4 linked regions of the Sus scrofa genome follow. The protein of the gene in region 1 binds, or shares a complex with, the protein of each later gene. Links are inferred from orthologs where the notes say so. Each region holds a gene or a part of one and is shown in the gene's direction. Other genes may lie near its edges. The genes, in order: IMMT, APOOL, CHCHD3 and APOO.

Region 1 (4,810 bases):
CTAGATTGCATAGGTGATTTTTCAGATGTCTTAAGTTTACAAAGTGAAAATAGGTATTTTATGCTTTGTTTTGTTTTGTTTTCTTGCCGGTTTATAAAACACATGGCAAATTCCAGTTGTCTCCAAGAAGTAATTAGCATAAGATACATTTAAAAGTACTAATTGGGTGCACACACACACACACTGGAATACTACTTAGCCATAAAAAAGAATGAAACTTTGTCATTTGCAACAACGTGCATGGACTTGGAGGGCAGTATCCTGAGGGAAAGAAATCAGAGAAAAACAAGTACTGTATGATCACTTATATGTGGAATCTAAAAAATTTAAGAAACTAGTGAATATAATAAAAAAAAGACTCAGAACAAACTAGTGATTGATTACCAGTGGGGAGGGTGGAGGGGCAAAATAGGGGTAGGAGATTAAGAGGTACAAACTTATGCATAAAATAAACTTCAAGGATATATTGTACAGCACAGAGAATATAGCCAGTATTTTCTAATAACTATAAGTGGGGTATAACATTTAAAAATTGTGATAGTAAGTTGTACACCTGAAACTTATATAATGTATATTAACTATACCTCAGTAAGAGAAAAGTATTAATTGCTGATCATCTGATAGTCTCTTTTTATTTTTATTTATTTATTTATTTTTTATTTTTTTGTCTTTTTGCCTTATCTAGAGCCACTCCCATGGCATACGGAGGTTTCCAGGCTAGGGGTTTAATCAGAGCTGTAGCCACTGGCTTACGCCAGAGCCACAGCAACATGGGATCCAAGTCATGTCTGCAACCTACACCACAGCTCACGGCAACGCTGGATCTTTAACCCACTGAGCAAGGCCAGGGATCGAACCCGCAGCGTCATGGTTCCTAGTCAAATTCATTTACCACTGTGCCATGATGGGAACTCCTGATAGTCTCTTTTTTAAATTTAAAAACTTTTTTTTTTTCCTTTTTACAGGTACACATGTGGTATGTGCAAGTTCCTAGGCTAGGGATAGAATTGGAGCTGTAGCTGCCGGCCTACACCACAGCCACAGTAATATGGTACTCAAGCTGCATCCAAGACCTATGCCCACAGCTTGTGGCAATGCCAGATCCTTAACCCACAGAGTGAGGCCAGGGATCGAACCTGCATACTCATGAATGTTAGTTGGATTCTTAATTCACTGAGCCACAATGGGACCTCCCTGATACTTTCTTTTTTTGAGATCTTGAAAGTAATTTTATGAGTCTTGAGGTGCAGGAAACATCACTGGTGTTTTTTGTGGGTTTTTTTTGTTTGTTTTTTGTCTTTTTTTTAGGGCCACACCTGTGGCCTGTGGAGGTTCCCAGGCTAGGGTCTAATTGGAGCCGTAGCTGCCAGCCTACACCACAGCCACAGCAATGCCAATCCAAGCCAAATCTGCGACCTACACCACAGCTCAGGGCAACGCTGGATCCTTAGTCCACTGAGCGAGGCCAGGGATTGAACCTGCAACCTCATGGTTCCTAGTTGGATTTGTTTCCACCGTGCCATGACAGGAACTCCCAGCATCACTGTTTTTAAGGGTCTTTATTCCATGGTAAATTGGTTTCTGAAAATAAATTTTTGTTGGAGTTCCCATCATGGCTTAGCAGTTAATGAACCTGACTAGCATCCATGAGGATGTGGGTTCGATCCCTGGCCTCACTCAGTGGGTTAAGGATCTGGCGTTGCCGTGAGCTGTGGTGTAGGTCTCAGATGCGGCTCAGATTCCTAGTTGCTGTGGTTGTGGTGTAGGCTGGCAGCTACAGCTCCAATTTGACCCCTGGCCTGGGAACCTCCATATGCCGTGTGTGTGGCTTAAAGACAAAAACAAACAAAACAATTAAAAAAAAAACGTTCTGTTTAATGAAGACTTTTATAATAAAAGTATTGCTTTTGAGTTCCTAGCCCTAAAAGCCTCCCAGATTCCTATGACTGTATTTTTTTTTTTTTTTTTTTCTTTTGGTCTTTTCTAGGGCCGCTCCCGAGGCATATGGAGGTTCCCAGGCTAGGGGTCTAATCGGAGCTGTTGCTGCTGGCCTATGCCACAGCCACAGCAACGCCGGATCCTTATCCCACTGAGCAAGGGCAGGGATCAAACCTGCAACTTCGATAGTTCCTAGTTGGATTCGTTAGCCACTGAGCCACGACGGGAACTCCTCCTACGACTGTATTGATTGTGCTGTTTCCTCCTTCTTCTCTAGAGTTGTCTCTGTGGGAAGTTTGTCCTCCGTCCACTCCGACCATGCCGCAGATACTCCACCTCAGGCAGTTCCCGGTATGTAGTATATCTCCCTATACACAGACTTTTTAATTGTGTGCTAAGGGTGTGTGTCTCTGTGTGTGTGTTTCTTGAATATGGAAATATCTGCTTAATTTTTTTTTTTTTTTTTTTTTTTGTCTTTTTGCCTTTTCTAGGGTGCTCCTTCAGCATATGGAGGTTCCCAGGGTAGGGGTCTAATTGGAGCTGTAGCCATCGGCCTACGCCAGAGCCACAGAAACGTGGGATCCGAGCTGCATCTTTGACCTACACCACAGCTCACAGCAACGTTGGATGCTTAACCCACTGAGTGAGACCGGGAATCAAACCAGCAACTTCATGGTTCCTAGTTGGACTTGTTAACCATTGAGCCACAGCGGGAACGCCAAAAATTTTTTAAAGGGGTACACACATTGGAACTTTGCCATAATATCTTTGGAGCATCACTTATTTGTAGGTAAAAATTTGTTATGGTGTGCCTTTTGGTTCTTTGCTGATTGGATGAAATTCAGGGTAGAGACCCTAGCCCCCCCATCCCCTCCTGTGCTGTCTTCCATTCTATGGCAAATAGATTTAGATTTATACCCAGAACTCAGCAGGTTGGAAATTAAAAGTATTTGTTCTCCTTGACGTTCATTTTATTGTATTTACAGAAATGTGTTTTTGGGTTTTTTTTGTTTGTTTTTTGCTGTTCCCAAGGCATGTGGATCAAACACATGCATGTGGGCTAGGGATCAAACCCACACCACAGCAGTGACAATACTGCATTCTTTTTGTTTTGTTTTGTTTTGTTTTGCTGCACCCTCATCGTATGGAAGATCCCAGGTCAGGGATCAAATCCAAGCCATAGCTGGCAACACCAGATTCTTAACACATTGCGCCTGTCTGAGGATCAAACCCATGCTTCTCCAGCGACCGGAGCTGCTGCAGTTGGATCCTTAACCACTGTGCCACAGTGGGAACTATAACACCAGATTCTTAACCTGCTATGCCACCAGAGAATTTCCTACAGAAATGGTTAATAAGGGGGAGGACTTTTTTTTTAAGGCCATACCCATAGCATATGGAAGATCCTGTGCCAGGGATTGAATCCAAGCCACAACTGCAGCAATGCTGGATCCTTTAACCCACTGTGCTGGGCTGAGTATCAAACCTGTGGCTTCGTAGCAACCCGAGCTATTATAAGTTGGATTCTTTTTTTTTTTTTTTGTCTTTTTAGGGGTGTGCCCCTGGCATATGTAGGTTCCCAGGCTAAGGGTTGAATTGGAACTGTGGTTGCCAGCCTATGCCATAGCCACAGCAGTGCCAGATCCGAGCCACATCTGCAACCTACACCACAACTCAGGGTAGCACTGGATCCGTAACCCACTAAGCTAGGCCAGGGATCAAACCTGCATCCTCATGGATACTAGTCAGGTTTGTTTCTGCTGAGCCATGACGGGAACTCCTATAGTTGAATTCTTAACCCACTGCGCCACAGCAGGAACTCCAGGGAAAGGAGCTTTGAAGATTAGTGATACTTGTTTTTTGAGTTCAGAGGAAACTTCATGACTGTGAACATGCTAAGTTTTAAGTATTAAAGGGCAAATTGCTTGGTTTTTCCTGTACCGGATATTACTATTTAAAAAAAAAAAATTCCACAAGTAAAAAATAAGCATTTTTTAAAAATTATGAACATGTTAAAATCAAATCAGGTAATACAACATTGTGAATCAACTATACTTCAATAAAAGTTTTTTAAAAAATGAGTGAAAGGTGATTGTAGCTGTGGTGATAAACTGGGCTGCTGTCATCTGAATCAGCGGTAGAGAATTACAGGCCCGAGGTCTTTGAGACTCTTATTGGTCTAGGGAAGTACGTTTAAGAGAACTGAAAAACAAAAATGTGTTTCCTATTTCTTTCACTTAGGTTGTCTCCTGGCAAAATTGCCGGCGCTGGCATTTTATTCGTTGGTGGTGGTATTGGTGGCACTATTCTGTATGCCAAATGGGATTCGCATTTCCGGACAAATGTAGAGAAAACCATACCTTATTCAGACAAACTCTTTGAAATGGTTCTTGGTTCCCCACCTTATACTGTTCCATTACCAAAGAAGTCGGTAAGAGTTTTAAGAACAGTTTCAGTTTATCCTATGGTATACTTTGAAAAGCAGGTTGTTTTCATATTAAAAATATTTTGTATGTATAGTTCAGTAGAATTTTCTGGGTATATGTTTGTCATTTTTCTTTAAATTGACCTAATATTATGTTGAGCTGGATTCCCTTTGGAGTCCTATAAGTGCTCTCATTTAGTCCACGCCACATAGAAAAAAATTATATGGCACACCAGGCTAAATGGAATGGTGAGCTCAGGCAGAGCTTATTATAGTGAGCATGCATTTCATAAGTTAAAATAATGAAACTTAAATAAAAATAAAATAGATATTGTTCTTTTGTTTTCTTTTTTCTTTGTCTTTTTAGGGCCACACCCATGGCATATGGAAGTTCCAGGCTTGGGGTCCAGTCAGAGCTGCAGCTGCCAACCTATGCCACAGCCCCAG
Region 2 (4,810 bases), on another chromosome or scaffold:
CATATTTCTGAATTTTTAAATATGTGCTCTTTGCTATATTATGAAATACACATGATTCCTTGGTATTTATTGTATTCCCCAGTACATTTTAAATAGAACTTAATTGAATTACCTATTAAACAAAGTTGATAATGCCGGTACCATTTTTTCCTCATTCTGACCTAGGGACTATTCACAAAATCAGGATTCAATCCTTGAGGAACTTAAAATTGCTGAAGGAATGAAAATGTAATTTGTATGAAATATTTCCAGGTACTTTCATTGTGTAAAGTGAGTTATGCCTTTGTTTAAATCAATTTACAAAAAAATACTTTATATGAAGTATTCTGGTTAATTGAATCTTCTGGTAAACTTGTGGCTAATCATAAAATCCTTTTTAAGTTCAGCTCATCTTGTTAGACATCTTCTTTAAAAGTAGCAATATACTTTTATATAATTTTACTTTTATATAATTAATAAGATGGTCTTATTAATTACCATCTAGTGAATATAATTAAATCTTTCATTTTTAGAAAACTGCAGAGCTATGAGGTGACCTTTTTATAAAACCATAAAATTCACAGTATTCTGACTAGAAAATAACTGGCAGTTGGGTTGTGTGGATATAGTCAACCACATACATTACTGGATGTTTCTTTTTAAAGTATTTCTATAATGCGAGTTTGACTTTTCTTGTTGTTTTCTTGTTTTCAGCCAAAAAATAATGGAAGAAATATTAATTTGAGAGTTCTAGTTACTTTGGTTCAATTTAAATGTTGTTAGTTTACTGAATCTTAGCTTAAATTTTTTTTTTCCTTTTTAGGGCCACACGCATGGCACATGGAAGTTCCCAGGCTAGGGGTTGAATCTGAGCTACAGCTGCTGGCCTATGCCACAGCAATAGCAACACGGGATCCCAGCCTCATCTGAAATTTATACCACAGCTCATGGCAACACCAGATCCCTGACCCTCTGCTCGAGGCCAGGGATCAAACCTGCATCCTCATGGATACCAGTCGTGGGTTCGTTTCAGCTGAGCCATAACGAGAACTCCTCTTATAATGTCTAATCAGGTACAAACAAGTTGTACTTATACAGTAGATGGCATTTAAGCCAAGGGCCTCCAATCCATGATGAGAATGTTCTTTCATTGGTCAAGACAAAATTCTCAGAATGGAGTAGAAATCCCAGCTATTGTATATTTTTGACATGATGATTTTTTTTTTTTTTTTGCTTCTAGCTCCCTATATATACTGCACCACCTCTTCAGTCTAAATATGTTGAAGAACAGCCTGGTCGTTTACAAGTGGGCTTTGCATCCATTCGCACTACAACTGGTCGTTATCTTGGCTGGTGCAAGGTAAGTGAATTCTAACAGTGGTTTGATGTTGGAGGTTTTTTGTTTGTATTACATAACAATTGATCCAGTTATCCATTGATGTATAACAAACTACCCTAAAACTTAGTGGTTTTAAACATCAACTATTCTATTACATCTCATGATTTTGTGAGTCAGAAACATAATCAGGCTTTAAACAGGTGATTCTTTTGTTGCATATGGTGTTGACAGAAGTCACTCAAAGGTACTTGTCAAGTGAATGGGCTGACCTAGAGATTCAAGAAAGCTTCACTCAACCCTGGCACCTTGTCACAGATGATCGAGGCACCTACACCTGGACTCTCAGGTAGTCAGATAGCTTACATGGACAGTTCAGGGCTCCTAGTGAAAATCTTACAAGAGACTCTTGTCAGAATTTTCCAAGCTTCTTACCTATCTTAAGATGTCCCAGAAAGTCACTTCTACAGCATTCCATTGTTGAATCAAGTTTCTAAGGCCAACCCAGTTTTTACAGGAGAGGAATTAGATCCCACTCTCAATATGAGTAGCAGCAAAGAATTTGTGGCCATATTTAATCTACTATACCAGCACTGCATAGATTAAAGTAGTTCAGCAGGCATTTACATCACGTAGCATGTATAAAACATTGCTTGACCTTTTAGGTGAAATTCTGAGATTAATTCTGTATTGTTCCTTATTTGGCTGAGTAAAAAGTTCACTTGGGATAAGACCATTCTGACTACAGTCAGCTATTGGGCAAAATAGAGTTTACCTTATTTTAATATTTAGTCTTCCAATCAGCATTATCCAGCAGCAGAGTGGTGGAGTAAGCTAGTACAATACTACTGTTCCATTATTATCTAATCCGCATAGGTGTTAGCATCAACATCTCCATTGTTAGTGCCATAATGATAATGCTGGTACCATTTTTTTCCTCATTCTGACCTAATAACCACATAACTTTTCCTCAAATCTGACCTACCCAATTGTGAACCCTTGTGCTTCTTGTTTCTAATTCATTTTTAAAACGAGAAGTCTAATGATTTTGTGAAATATCAAATCTGTGAACTCTGCTCATTTCAGATGATATTTCAAACATCTAATGAATACATGGTGTTATTTTTTTTTATTTGTGCCTGTCAAACAATTCTAATAGACTCTTAATACACTCTTAATAGTTTGACTAGTACTACATATTCTTAATAGTTTGGTCAGCAGGAAATAGCTTAACTAATTAGGTGCTTAGTCACGTACCCGAGGCTATATGCCAATAGCTGGATGATTCCGACTGAAGTCTCTTGAGACTTTTTCCAAAGTTCTCAAAGTTGTTTCAGAGAGGTAAATTGTTCCTGAGAGATTGTAAATTGTTCTCGAGAGATTGTTAAATAGAAAATTTCATAGCAGCTAGTTCAGAGAAGGAGACCATGTATTTGGATTGTGTTTTCTAGTTCCATCGATAGAGTACAGCATGACTATGGGCATTAACTACTGGTAAATCATTCAGAAATATGCTGAAACCAATAGGTTAAAGAAGGGTGCTTTAGAATGCATTTCATCTTTGATGTAAGCATTTCATCTTTAATTTTATCTTAAAAACGTAATCTATTTTTTAAAAATTACCTCTGACTCAAATTACATTCTGCGTTAAACTTAGACTCATGTAGGGCAAATTCAATTCCTATTCCTACTCCTTACTGTTTTAAAATTTAGATAGCAGTGACCTCCAGTGGTAAAAGTGAATTTCTAAACACACCTAAGAAGAAATTTCCCGAAAAGAACTGACTAGTTTTCTTCCTCAACAGTTACATGATTCCCAGACAACTGGTCGATAAGTATTGTAACTTTGAAGGTGAAATTTTCTCAAGAGCCTATCCCTTAAAAGAAGTAGCTCATTAATAGTTAGGATATGTGTTGGTTTGTATAGCTTTAAACCGTAATGAACAGGATAAACTTCTGCATTTGATTATCATGAAAATATCTGAAGCAGTTACTAATACCAAGATCTATCTATAGCAATAACATTTCTTTCCCGTCTGATAAAATCATTTCTATTTTCTTTGCTTTGAAAATCTGTTTTGTTGTTTTTTAATCCCATGGTTTCATAGCAGCTAGTTCAGAGAAGGAGACCATGTATTTGGATTGTGTTTTCTAGTTCCATTGATAGAGTACAACATGACTATGGGCATTAACCACTGGTAAAACATTCTTTGCCTTTGTATTTCTTCTAATGTAATTGAGATTGTACCTATCACTTAATAAATGTGTGTAACAGTATTTCTGGCATTAGCTTAAGTTAGTTAGAAACAGGTAATTTAATTTAAAGCCCTAATCCTTCCAATGGGTAAATATAATCTTGATTTATAGAGAATTTATGTTCTTACTGAAAACAAGATGGGCACTAGTCTGTATAGGATAATTTCTATCCTGAGATAAATGTTTTATTTAGAGTTTTTTCTCATTCTCATGCACATTAAGGAAAAAGAGAAGATGAAGTACTTTTCTTTATGCTTTTTGTTGTTGTTTTCTCCACAAATCATTGTTGTTGCCGCCACATCTTTATTAATCAGGTATTGCTTCTAAGCTGAAATATTCATCTCCATGTTTTATTTAAGTTCCATTCATTTTTCTAGTCTATCATAAACTAATATGATAACTCATTGTATTTCTGCAATAACTTTTCTGTGAGCTGCTCTGATTATTTTATAGGTATTGCTTTACCCATTTATATGAGGAAATTAGTAAACAAATGTTATCCATGTTAAATGGAATGAAAAACAAATGAAGAGAAGCTAAGTTGAATAAGTGCCCTCATAGAGAGTAAATAGGAAAGCTAGATTTAGATTTGGGTGCATGCTAAATCAGCATTTTCCTATAATCTCAGAGACATGTTCTGTTTGATCTAATTATCAAATTTTATAATTATCTAATTATCAAATTATCTTAAAAAATGCTGATGTCCTTTCTCCCCCCTTTTATTTAGAGTGCTTATGTCTTCATGAAAAATGGGATAAAGGATGCAGTACAATTTGGAAAAGGTAAGTTAGTGAACCATCAATATAATTAGAAATGTTGTATAGTCTTTTTAACTTGCAAGGTTTAAATGTCAGAAAAATTAACTTGGTATGTTATCCATTATCATGTTTTACTAACTCAGAAGACACCCTGTATAGGAGTTTATAAACAAAGCACTATTTAGTATCCATTATTTAGCAGTTATTATACGCTAAGGCACTATGATAAGCATTTTATATATCTAATTTAATTTTGTATCAAATACCTGAGTGTTGGTATTATAATTATTCTCATTTTATAGATGAGGAAATGGGTTTGGAAGGATTAGGTAGGTTACCAAGGTCATATAGCTAGTAAGTGACAGCATCTGGACTATGGTCTGTTTTAGCTACAGAACCCGTATTATATACTCATGAAGCATAAATTAGAAACATAACTCCATTGTTATCAATTAGTTTAATTAAGTGCTATTTGCTGTTA
Region 3 (4,810 bases), on another chromosome or scaffold:
TCTTTTTCAAAATCTTTCCATACAGAGAAATTAAGTTCTTTAAATGTCTCTTGTAGCTAAGATTTAATTTTCCTTCTTGGGTATCTTGAAATTCTGCCTTTTGTTATTTTTACCTAATAGTGGCTTTTTCCATCAGCAGGAATGAAAGCAGTCAATAAAAATCAATTGCTGACTCAATGACTATATGGAGGGTTTACCATAATGCATATTGGAAATGTCTTTGAAACCCTTTTCCTGAATGGAAGGTGCGAGGCTTGGGGTTTTATGGCCTTCTAATGTTAGATGGTAATCTCATTTAGCATTTTCCCAAAGTGAAAACCATGCATTAGGGCAGCATAACAAGCACTGCAGATCAATACAGAGGCAGGGCTTTGCCCTAACAGATTAATCCAAGCAAAATGTACCAGAGTCTAGTCCAGGAACTGGAAGGCAGTTAATGTTGATTTCCACACTTCTTCCCCCATCCTACCATCTAATCATCCGTATAGCTGAGATGTGTACAAAAAGGATTTCAGAAGATGTCTGCTCGCGTGCACAAGCACGCGCACACACACACACACACTCACACAGAACAGATTACCATACAGGAAATCACGGGTCCTGGAAGTGAGTCGTATTGATTTGTGGTGATAAAAGTATATTTTGACACATTTCAAATCATAAATAACTCATGGACTTTAACTTGCATGACTCATCGCTCAACCCAGGGTAAATGCTTACATGTAACTTAAATTACCTCGTTCTAAGGAGTTCATAGTATTAGATGAGTGAACCCCCTGTGAATAGTCTTTTCAGGAGGGGAAAAAAAAAACCAAGAAACCACACAGTGTCTTCTTTGTGATGAGCAGCGTGTGGAGGCTCATTCTTTACAGTTTTTTCCTGTGTGTTAGTGGGGAGGGGCTGCGTATCTGGTCGGGATGGTTCTCGCCTTCTCTCTCATCTCCTTTCCCCTGCTTTAAATCTAAGTTATATTGGGGGGAATGAGATAGAATATACCCCTGCTTCCTTATGAACTCTTACAGACATTATTAGTCCTATATGTGCTAGGATCAGCTGACCTGGTGCATAATCCTGTTTTATTCAGTATTTGTGCAGATGTGCATCTTGCGGTAATCAGTCACTTAGTGTCACGTCTATGCTTCTACCCCTCGAAGCACAGATGCTGGTGTTCATGGTAGGGTATTAGGGAAATCCATGTCTGGAGGAATTCATAGAAATCTGAACTTCAGAATTTTAAAGTGCGTTGAAACTCCTGGGATTGGATTTAAATTCTGGTAGTAGGTATTTGGCAAAACAGTAAGGTAATGAGTGAAAAAGTGCAAGCAATGTTGTATAAAACTTGTGGGATTATATTTTTCTCTCTCTCTGTCGGCTTCTTTTTTAGAGGGTAGTAGGAAATAAATTCCCTTAGGGGCCAGTAACATGGTTTGCATTTCAGTTTTCTATTCTAGCAAAATATATATATTAGCTTAGTGTGTTGGATAAAAGTAATGAGGAGACAAATCGTCACCCAGGGGTTTCCTTATTGATGTGAAATATTTCTCCTGTGTTCTCTAGGGGTTTTTAAGAGCCCATCGAATTTAAAATAATGCTATTTTCAAGATTACTGTGGAAATAACAAATTTAAGTTTCAAAAAAGTGATAAGAAAGGCTGAAACCACTTCATTAAACAAAACTAATTTGAAAATTATGAAATCTAGATTAAAGTGCTGATAATAACATTTTTTTCCTGGGTATTTAGTCCTTCTAATCAAAGTTCTTCTACCATTTTCACAAGAATATTTCATTTTTGTTTGTATAATGCATTTGGTTTATTATCATTTTTTAAGTGTACATTATCAGCTTTTTGGAAGCATTTTTGTCCAGTACTGCATATTCACTGAAAGCTATCTAACTAAAATCTTGAGATCTGTAAGTATAATTAGTAAAATTTTAGCTCAGGGAACTAAAAAAAAATACTCTCTACACCCATTGGTATTCTCAACGATTTATTGCATGACATTTATTAGAGGTATCTGTGTTGATAGCTGAGATCACAAATAAGATGCATGGAGTTCCCTTCATGGTTCAACGGTTAACTACCCGACTAGGATCCATGAGAATGCGGGTTCGATTCCTGGCCATGCCCACAGCACATAGAAGTTCCTGGGTTAAGGATCCGGCGTTGCCGTGAGCTGCAGTGTAGGTCTCAGGCGCAGCTCGGATCTGGTGTTGCTATGGCTCTGGCGTAGGCTGGTGGCAACAGCTCCCATTAGACCCCTAGCCTGGGAACCTCCATATGCCGCGAGTGCAGCCCTGAAAGGACCAGAAACAAAAAACAAATTGCAGTCCTTACTACCTGGGATTGGCATGCTAGTAAATTGCACTGGACTGTAATGTAGTGAGTGCTAAGTGCATGGTGAAAGGAGTTCATAGGATCACCATAAAGGGGACTCTACTGTGGATGGGGAGAGCTAGTGAGAGTTCTAGGGAGGAAGTGACACTCTAGTACTTAGCTCAGGTATTGAGATACCTAGAAATGGGTGAGGGTTTGGGTGCAGAGCACTTCCAAACTCAAGAGGAGTATATCAAAGGTGCAAAGGGACATGTAAGAACCAAACCCTGAACAGGGTCTGGCTGGGCTGTAGCCCGTGCAGGGTGGTGCACTGAGGTGAAAGAGTAGGCAGAAATGGATCCAGAAGGACCTGCTTGTTGATCTTGTATTTTACTTAGAAAGCAGGTACTATCTCAGATTGATATATTACAAAGAACCTTCTGGGGGGCAGGAATAGATGGTGAAAGCTTAGAGACAGAGAGACCTGTGGAGGTCATGGCTTGAATCCAGGATATAAGTGATTCGGAATTAATGTGATGACAATGAATACGTGAAAGAGGACTGGACTGCAGGTTCTCAAGCTTCCTGACCAACTGGAGTGGGAATGGAGGAGCACCTTGGCGCTCCCACTCGCTGATCTGGCTGGCTGGGCTGAATGCACATGGTTACGTTTCAGGTCAGGTAGGGATGTTGACACTATCCAGAGTCTCTTGGTGGCATCGATTAATAGAACTGATTTCACAGAAATCATCTAAAAGTTGAAGAGGTATGCCCTTGTGGCGCAGCAGGTTAAGGATCTGGCCTTGTCCCTGCAGCAGCTTGGGTCGCAGTGAGTTGGATCCCTGGCCCAGGAACTTCTATGTGCTGTGGGCACGGCCGAATTAAAAAAAAAAAGTTGAAGAAAACGATTTCTCTTAAACTTTTTTGTGGCATTTGCAACATTTATATCCATTTACTGTTTTGTCTCTTCTTTGGTCTTTATCTTTATTCTGGTTGAAGACCGGTTGTCTCAGTGGTCTGTGTTTTTGTTTTCAGGCGGTATGAATGCCATCCCGTCTGTGCCGACCTGCAGGCCCAGATTCTCCAGTGTTACCGCCAGAACACCCAGCAGACCCTCAGCTGCTCCGCTCTGGCCAGCGAGTACATGCGCTGTGTCAATCAGGCCAAACAGGTAGGTGTGCAAGCCAGGCTCACTGGGCGTCAGAGGAACAGAAAGCCCAAGGGCACTCGGAAGGGCGCACTAGGCTAATATGTATGGAAAAGCTTTAAAAGCCAAACTAGTTGTCACCTTCAAGGGTTGCTATCAAGACTTGGTTAGGTCCTAACCAACTTTCATTTGGGTAGTTGTAGAAAGAGCCCACAGTCTCCTTGTGTTCAACTTACTCCCAGAAACAAATAAGTAAATAAATAAATAAGTAAATAAATTTTTAAAAATCTGTAAATAATGCCTTTTCCAGTTGCTCTGAACTTTTGTCCTCTACTCAGTAATTGTGTCCTCAAGGTCATTGCCCCATACTGGGCCAGCAGCTTCAGATCTAGAGACAGCTAGAGCCTGTTTTAAAACAAACAAAAGGCAAACACTCAAACTAAAACAAAAGCCCACCATGCTAGCATCATTCAGTCTTTTACTAATTGGTGGAGTCCAGTCAGTTGGGCAGGGAAAGAGAGGCCGGAGATGGATTTAGGAAGCGATATCCGTCGCTTCTGTGTACCATGGATATATTCTTATGATCCTTCCTGTCAGAGTAATATGATGATCATGGGACATGTATTTTTCTGTAATTTATGTACTTCAGAAAGCTAATGATAAACCCTGAAGCAAAATATCCATTTGGCAGGTCACATAATTGCCTATCATTTAACTGATTGTAACAGTTGGATATAGGTTTTTCTGAGAGATGGAAATTGTTGGAAACCTTGGTTCTTTGTGCTGACAAACTCCCTATAGTTGACCTTCCAACCCAACTGAATTTAGTGTTTGAGTTGCACAGCATGCCTTCCTGTGGTCTAATTTGCTGTAGTTATGAGAATGCCGCTTAATATAAATTTCTATCACCATAAATATCTAGTGGGAGGGTCAGTATTGTCTAGATAGCTGGAAAATAACAGCGACACTGGTAGAAAAAACTAAAACCAAAATAGAGTAAAGGCTTGTGTTGTCTTTAAAAGCCTTGTGGCTTGAGGCTTTTTTCTGTTTCTTGCTTATACAACACCTACATAACTTAGTGGTATGCCAGGGATTCCGCTCTTCTGAGGCCTTTGGTAAAAGTAATGTTGCTAATGTTAAGTTAGTACATTTTAATTTTCAAAAACAGCTTCTGATTTGCTCTTGACCACCTCCAGCCTTCAGTATTGACAGTAACTGAAGCATGTGGAACCGTGAGGACTTTGACCGTGTGATGTTAGTGCTCTCTTGAGTGGGGGAGGTGGTCAGTGCACAGAATGGTGGTGACTAAGTGTGTGTCCAGCGCTAGTGTCTGGTAACGTAGGTGCCTG
Region 4 (5,470 bases), on another chromosome or scaffold:
ATATATGTGTACATACAGATACACACACACATATATATTCTTTTTCATATTCTTTTCCATTATGGTTTAACACGGGATATTGAATAAGAATTATGTTTTTTTAAACCCATAATCTAAAATATATAGGGTTACAAAAGACTTCAATTATATTGAAATCATTGTAAAAATATTTTCAAAAACAAAATTATAGAAATGTCTTCTTTATGCATTAAATAAAATAAAAAATGAGAGCTCTAATAATTACAGTACTTGTGAAGTGGTAATGAGCAGAAATGATATTTCAAGAAATCTGCTGTGACTATAATATGATATGAAAATATCTGTGCTTTCTACTGATGACAAAGTCATAGGTACCGCTGAACTACTGTGGTTACCTACACCACAATTTAAAGAACTGTTAAAGTTCAGTTATAGGTTAGTGAAAATAAAGTTGTAATTTTTCCCCAAGTTCATGTACCTCCAGAATTAAGAATTTCTGCCCTAACTTACCATTTATAAGTCACACTCTTATACACATATGACATTCCATTACTGATGCAGAGCCTTCAGAGTCTCCTAAATAGTTCTCCTTAGGTATAGGGAAGGCTAGGGATATACAATTCTCTTGAGAAAGAGAAAAGTAGCCCTTAACATCTGGGAGCTGGCCTGGCACCCACACCTGGGCTTTCGTGTTAGCCCTGGCTTCCTAGCACCACCCAATCCAGAACAAGGACTCGCTTCCCTGAACTCACCCGCAAACCCCCCAACCAAAGCCCCAAATCCTAGAATAAATCTAACACCCTCTTACTGAGATGCCCCACCGTTTCCCAAGGGTGCGTTCTCCTGGCACCAAAGAGAAATGAACTCAGCTTGTTCAACTACAGTATTCTTAGTGATCTTGGCTGGAGAGCAGTGACACCGCACCAAACTCCCAAAATCTTCTGGATGCCTGCCCCGGATGGGCTTACATTTGCTGCGGGATTAGAATGAAATACAGAATGAAACATGAAATACAACCCCGGTATGAGACACTACAACAGTTGTTTACTTGCGATCACAGGCTTTAAAGCCAGGCTACTGAGGTTTGAATCCTGGCTTCCCACTTTCCTTCTGTATGACCTTCCACATATTACTTCTCTGAGCCTCGGTTTCTTCATGTATTTGACGGGAGATAATAATCGTGCCCACCTACTTGGGTTGTTGGAAAGAAGAGTATGTGTAAGGAGTTTACATCAGAGCAAGTTACATAGTAAACGCTGTTGGTGGTTGCTATTCTTGTTAATAAGATAATTTTTGTCATTATTACTTATTTCTACTCTAATTAAAGGACAAACATTTGATTCCCTGTGAGAAACATACGCTTAAGCATTTTAAAGAAGAAAAAAATGTCGGGCTCTTTCAAGACTAAAGGACAAGGCAAATTAGTTTAAATTTAAAATCTTGGAAATGGCTAAACAAGGGTGAAAAAAAAAACCCCACAAAACTAAAAACCTTTTGTGAGGTAAATCCAGGCCCCCGAGGTCGGTAGCTTCCGGCTGCGAGGCTTTCGAAGCCACCAGAGGCCTGCCGAGCGCCCCCGCCCGGCGGCCTCCGCACACAGGCTTCCCAACCCACGCTGCTGGCGCCCAATCACGGCGGCGAAGGCCAATTCCCAGCACGGCTCTGCGCTCGGCGCCTCCCTCCTAGCGCCCCCGCGTGCCGCCCACACTGAGCTGGCGCTTTCCCGCCGCCTAGCAACCGCCGGCGCAGGGGCGGAGCCTCCGGAAGGCGGGGCTTGTGTTCGCCGCCTGAGGCGCGACGCGCTGCAGCTCAACGACGCTGCTAGCAGCCCAAGCTTCCGAGTTAAGCCTTAGCGGGATCGAATTGGCTGTACGCCTGTTACCCGCACCGCGGCCCGCTTGCGGTCGGAGGAATCGGGCCCTAATCGGCCGCCGTAGTTACCTCTCTATAGTGGGCGTGGCCGAGGCCGGGTGACCCCGCCGGAGCCGCCGCTGCCAGCGACATGTTCAAGGTGAGAGTGTCGAGCCGGGTCACAACTGTCACCGCCCCTTCCCGGCCGCCTGCAGCTCTCCCCGCGCTCTTTTGGGCCTCTCTGGGAACCAGAACTGGCTCGCTTTGAGGCTTTTCCCGCCTCCGGGCTGCCTGTGTCCCGGTCCCGAGGGTCATTCACCGGTCCGCCTGGAGTTTGCGGTTGAGGCACAGGAGGCGGGAGATTCGAGGGTGGTGGGTTGGGCCCTTTGGTCGTGCTCTCGGGAATAAAATGTTTTAAAAAGTTAAAGTATCCCTCACAGTATCCACACTCTGGCTGGTGCCCTCTTGAGTTCGTGAGTAGGGTTAGGCCAGCTTAGGGCACCGCGGGGTTCGGCTTTGGTTGTGCCGGGCAAGGTCAGGTTTTAGAACCTGGTATGAATGGGGGAGGTCACCTTCGGCGAAGCTCCTGCAGGAAGTCGGGGAGACTGGCATGGGAATGGAACGGCTGGGTTAGGGGAAGAAGCTGGACTTTCTCCTCCCCAGTGAACATTATATAGTATGGACAGGTCGAGCCCCTTCTTTACAGTTTTTGAACTCGTGTCCTTTGAAAGACTTTTACAGTGAAGACTGTTTCGAAAATCTGCATTTTAACATGAAGCCATTATTCTCCTTCAAAAAAAGTAAATGATATTTTTTATAATGAAGAACAAATCGCAAGCTACCAGAAATGAGTCTACAAAATTGAGTCAAGAAGCATTGTACCCATAAAAGACTGCTAATGAAATCTCAGAATTATACTACTCATTTAAAAGTGTTTTTTTTTTTTTTTTTTTTTTTTTTGCCTTTTTCCAGGGCCGCTCCTGTGGCATATGGAGGTTCCCAGGCGAGGGGTCTAATCAGAGCTGTAGCTGCCGGTCTACGCCATAGCCACAGCAACGGGACCTGAGCCGCGTCTGCGACCTACACCATAGCTCAGGGCAACTCAGGATCCTTAATCTACTGAGCAAGGCCAGGGATCGAACCTGAAACCTCATAGTTCCTAGTCGGATTCGTTTACCCCTGAGCCACGACGGGAACTCCTTAAAAGTTTTATTGAGTGCCTACAACGTGCTTTGGGTACACTGGGACAGGCTCTAAAGTCAGAATGTGGGTTTGGCCTTCCATTCCTGGAGTTGCCACGTTCTAGATGTGTGACCTTGAGCAAGTCACTTAACCTCTCTGAGCCTGTTTTTTTATTGGTGAAGTTAGGGAAACAACATTTACCTGTAGGCTTGTTATAAGGAATAAATAAGTTAGTATGTGTAAAGAATTTGTAAGAGGCCCTGGCACATAGAAGTGACATCCAGGTATTTGCTTTTATTTTGTTTTCAGGTAGCTCACAGTTTAGTTAGGACAACAGATCTCATAAGCAACTTGGTTTTGTTTGATAAATTTGTGTTGAATACCTATTATGTGCTAGGAGCCTGGCTTAGTTTGAGGGTTGCAACAACAAAGGGTACACTGTGTTGCGACAATAAAGAGTATGCTGTGATCATTTCATATGGTTATCAGCAGTGTTCTGTGGTGGTGAAAAGGAGAGTATCATCTCCTCTGTTTTACCAAGGGTTCTTAAGCTGTGGTTCTTGGCCCCTTAGAAGGTCTGGATAGAATTAAGAGGATCTTTAAATTCTGGCAGGGAAAAAAAAAATCAGTTTCATTAATCTGCTGAAATTTAGCATTTCTTTCAGTTATGAATGTAGGTTAACAGTTTCAATTACCAGTTTCCAGATAATGACCTTAAAACAACAGTGATTTATTACTTCTCACCATCTATAGGTTGTCTGGACAGTTCTGCCGGCATCCTCTAGTGACAGAATTCAACTGGTGGCTATACTATGAGGTAGCCTTACTCTCATATCAGTGGGCCTGGGGCCCCTCAATGTGGCTGTTTTGGGCTCCCTTACATGGTTACTGGGTTCTAAGAAGCCTAGTCCCGGTGCATAAACACATGCTTATATCGCATTTGCTGATGTCAAAACAAGTCACATGGCCAAGGCCCGAGTCAGTATGGTGTGAGGTTACAGAACAGCACAGATACGAGAACATGTGGTTCATGGGGAGCAATTAATTAAGTTACTACAGCCACAAACTAGTGGTAGTCACCAATAGAAGTCAGCAGGACCAATGCATGTCACAGACATTTTCATATCACATTACAGTGGTTCCAGATCTCAAGATATTTATGCTTATCACTGCTTTAAGATTATAGTAGTTATGGGACTTCCCGTCGTGGCGTAGTGGTAACAATCCGACTAGGAACCATGAGGTTGCTGGTTCGATCCCTGCCCTTGCTCAGTGGGTTAACGATCCGGCGTTGCCGTGAGCTGTGGTGTAGCTCGCAGACGCGGCTCGGATCCTGCGTTGCTGTGGCTCTGGCGTAGGCTGGTGGCTACAGCTCCAATTGGACCCCTAGCCTGGGAACCTCCATATGCCGCCGGAGCGGCCCAAGAAATGGCAAAAAGACAAAAAAAAAAAAAAAAAAAGAAAAAGAAAAAGATTATAGTAGTTATAAGACTCTCTAATAGGTTTTTTTAACTTAAAGAGCTAATAAAGAAGTACACATTACTATATCAGATTTGGGGTTTTAAAAACAACTATATTGCAATATAATTGGCATTTATAAAATGCAGTTAGAAGCATTATTTTGAGAAGGGGTCCCTAGGGCTTACCAGACTGCCAAAGAAGATGGTGGCACAAAAAAGGCAATGAACCCCTGGGGACTTCAGGTGAGGCAAGTTTTGAAAGCCAGGAGTTCCTCAGGTGGATGAGCCACGGAACAGCAGCAGTGGTACTCCATGGGGGAAGTGCTGGTAGATCAGTTCTTCTGTATCAAGGGAAAGATAAAGGGAGCTGAAATTGTTGAAACATGTACTTTGAGTCGAAAAGCTCACAGCAGACCTTGTTGGATACCAAAATTTAAGGAGGAGTATGAGGAAGAGGGGAGCCCAGAGATTTTGAGAAGCAACCTGATAAGTAGAAGTAGGAGCACCAGAGTGATGTTTAAACAATTAAGGGAGGGAAGTTTCAAGGGCAGGCTATGTTAGAATGCTCTCAGGTGGGAAAATCCAACTGCTTAAATAGTAAGGAATTTTTTTTCACAAAATGCAGAGGAAGGGTGGACTTTACTGGGTCAACATTGTTTTCAAGGTCCCCATCTCTTTTCTTGGCTTTCCACAGTTAGACTGGTTCTCCTTGTGGTTGTAAGATTGCCAGTAACACATGCTTTCCCATTCACTAGAGTAAGAGAGAGAATAAAACTCCCAGGCTTGAACTACAGTTTCCCTTCAATCTGATTGGACCAACTTAGGTCAGGTATTTGGCCCTGACCCAATAGCTAGTGCTAGGGGAATGCCATGCCCTGATGTGCCTAGACTAAGCAGAATCAGCCCAGGATGGGGTCAGTTTACCTTAATCAACTTGGAGAGAAATGATTCCTTGAGCACAATGGGGTAGTGGAGACTGGATGTGTAACAACAATGTC

What was found.
Region 2: IMMT (region 1) and APOOL share a complex: the UniProt entries of both Homo sapiens proteins name them as parts of the mitochondrial contact site and cristae organizing system (MICOS) complex. The link is inferred for Sus scrofa from reciprocal best matches to the Homo sapiens genes IMMT and APOOL.
Region 3: IMMT (region 1) and CHCHD3 share a complex: the UniProt entries of both Homo sapiens proteins name them as parts of the mitochondrial contact site and cristae organizing system (MICOS) complex. The link is inferred for Sus scrofa from reciprocal best matches to the Homo sapiens genes IMMT and CHCHD3.
Region 4: IMMT (region 1) and APOO share a complex: the UniProt entries of both Homo sapiens proteins name them as parts of the mitochondrial contact site and cristae organizing system (MICOS) complex. The link is inferred for Sus scrofa from reciprocal best matches to the Homo sapiens genes IMMT and APOO.

What each region holds. Positions count from the first base shown.
Region 1 is NC_010445.4:58,591,401-58,596,210, forward strand, and holds part of IMMT (MICOS complex subunit MIC60), read left to right. Parts: intron 1-2,215; coding exon 2,216-2,289; intron 2,290-4,179; coding exon 4,180-4,369; intron 4,370-4,810. UniProt on the Homo sapiens protein: Component of the MICOS complex, a large protein complex of the mitochondrial inner membrane that plays crucial roles in the maintenance of crista junctions, inner membrane architecture, and formation of contact sites to the outer membrane.
Region 2 is NC_010461.5:68,326,035-68,330,844, forward strand, and holds part of APOOL (MICOS complex subunit MIC27), read left to right. Parts: intron 1-1,219; coding exon 1,220-1,339; intron 1,340-4,298; coding exon 4,299-4,353; intron 4,354-4,810. UniProt on the Homo sapiens protein: Component of the MICOS complex, a large protein complex of the mitochondrial inner membrane that plays crucial roles in the maintenance of crista junctions, inner membrane architecture, and formation of contact sites to the outer membrane.
Region 3 is NC_010460.4:16,310,424-16,315,233, forward strand, and holds part of CHCHD3 (MICOS complex subunit MIC19), read left to right. Parts: intron 1-3,349; coding exon 3,350-3,485; intron 3,486-4,810. UniProt on the Homo sapiens protein: Component of the MICOS complex, a large protein complex of the mitochondrial inner membrane that plays crucial roles in the maintenance of crista junctions, inner membrane architecture, and formation of contact sites to the outer membrane.
Region 4 is NC_010461.5:20,014,044-20,019,513, reverse strand, and holds the start of APOO (MICOS complex subunit MIC26), read left to right. Parts: upstream 1-1,729; 5' UTR 1,730-1,981; coding exon 1,982-1,990; intron 1,991-5,470. UniProt on the Homo sapiens protein: Component of the MICOS complex, a large protein complex of the mitochondrial inner membrane that plays crucial roles in the maintenance of crista junctions, inner membrane architecture, and formation of contact sites to the outer membrane.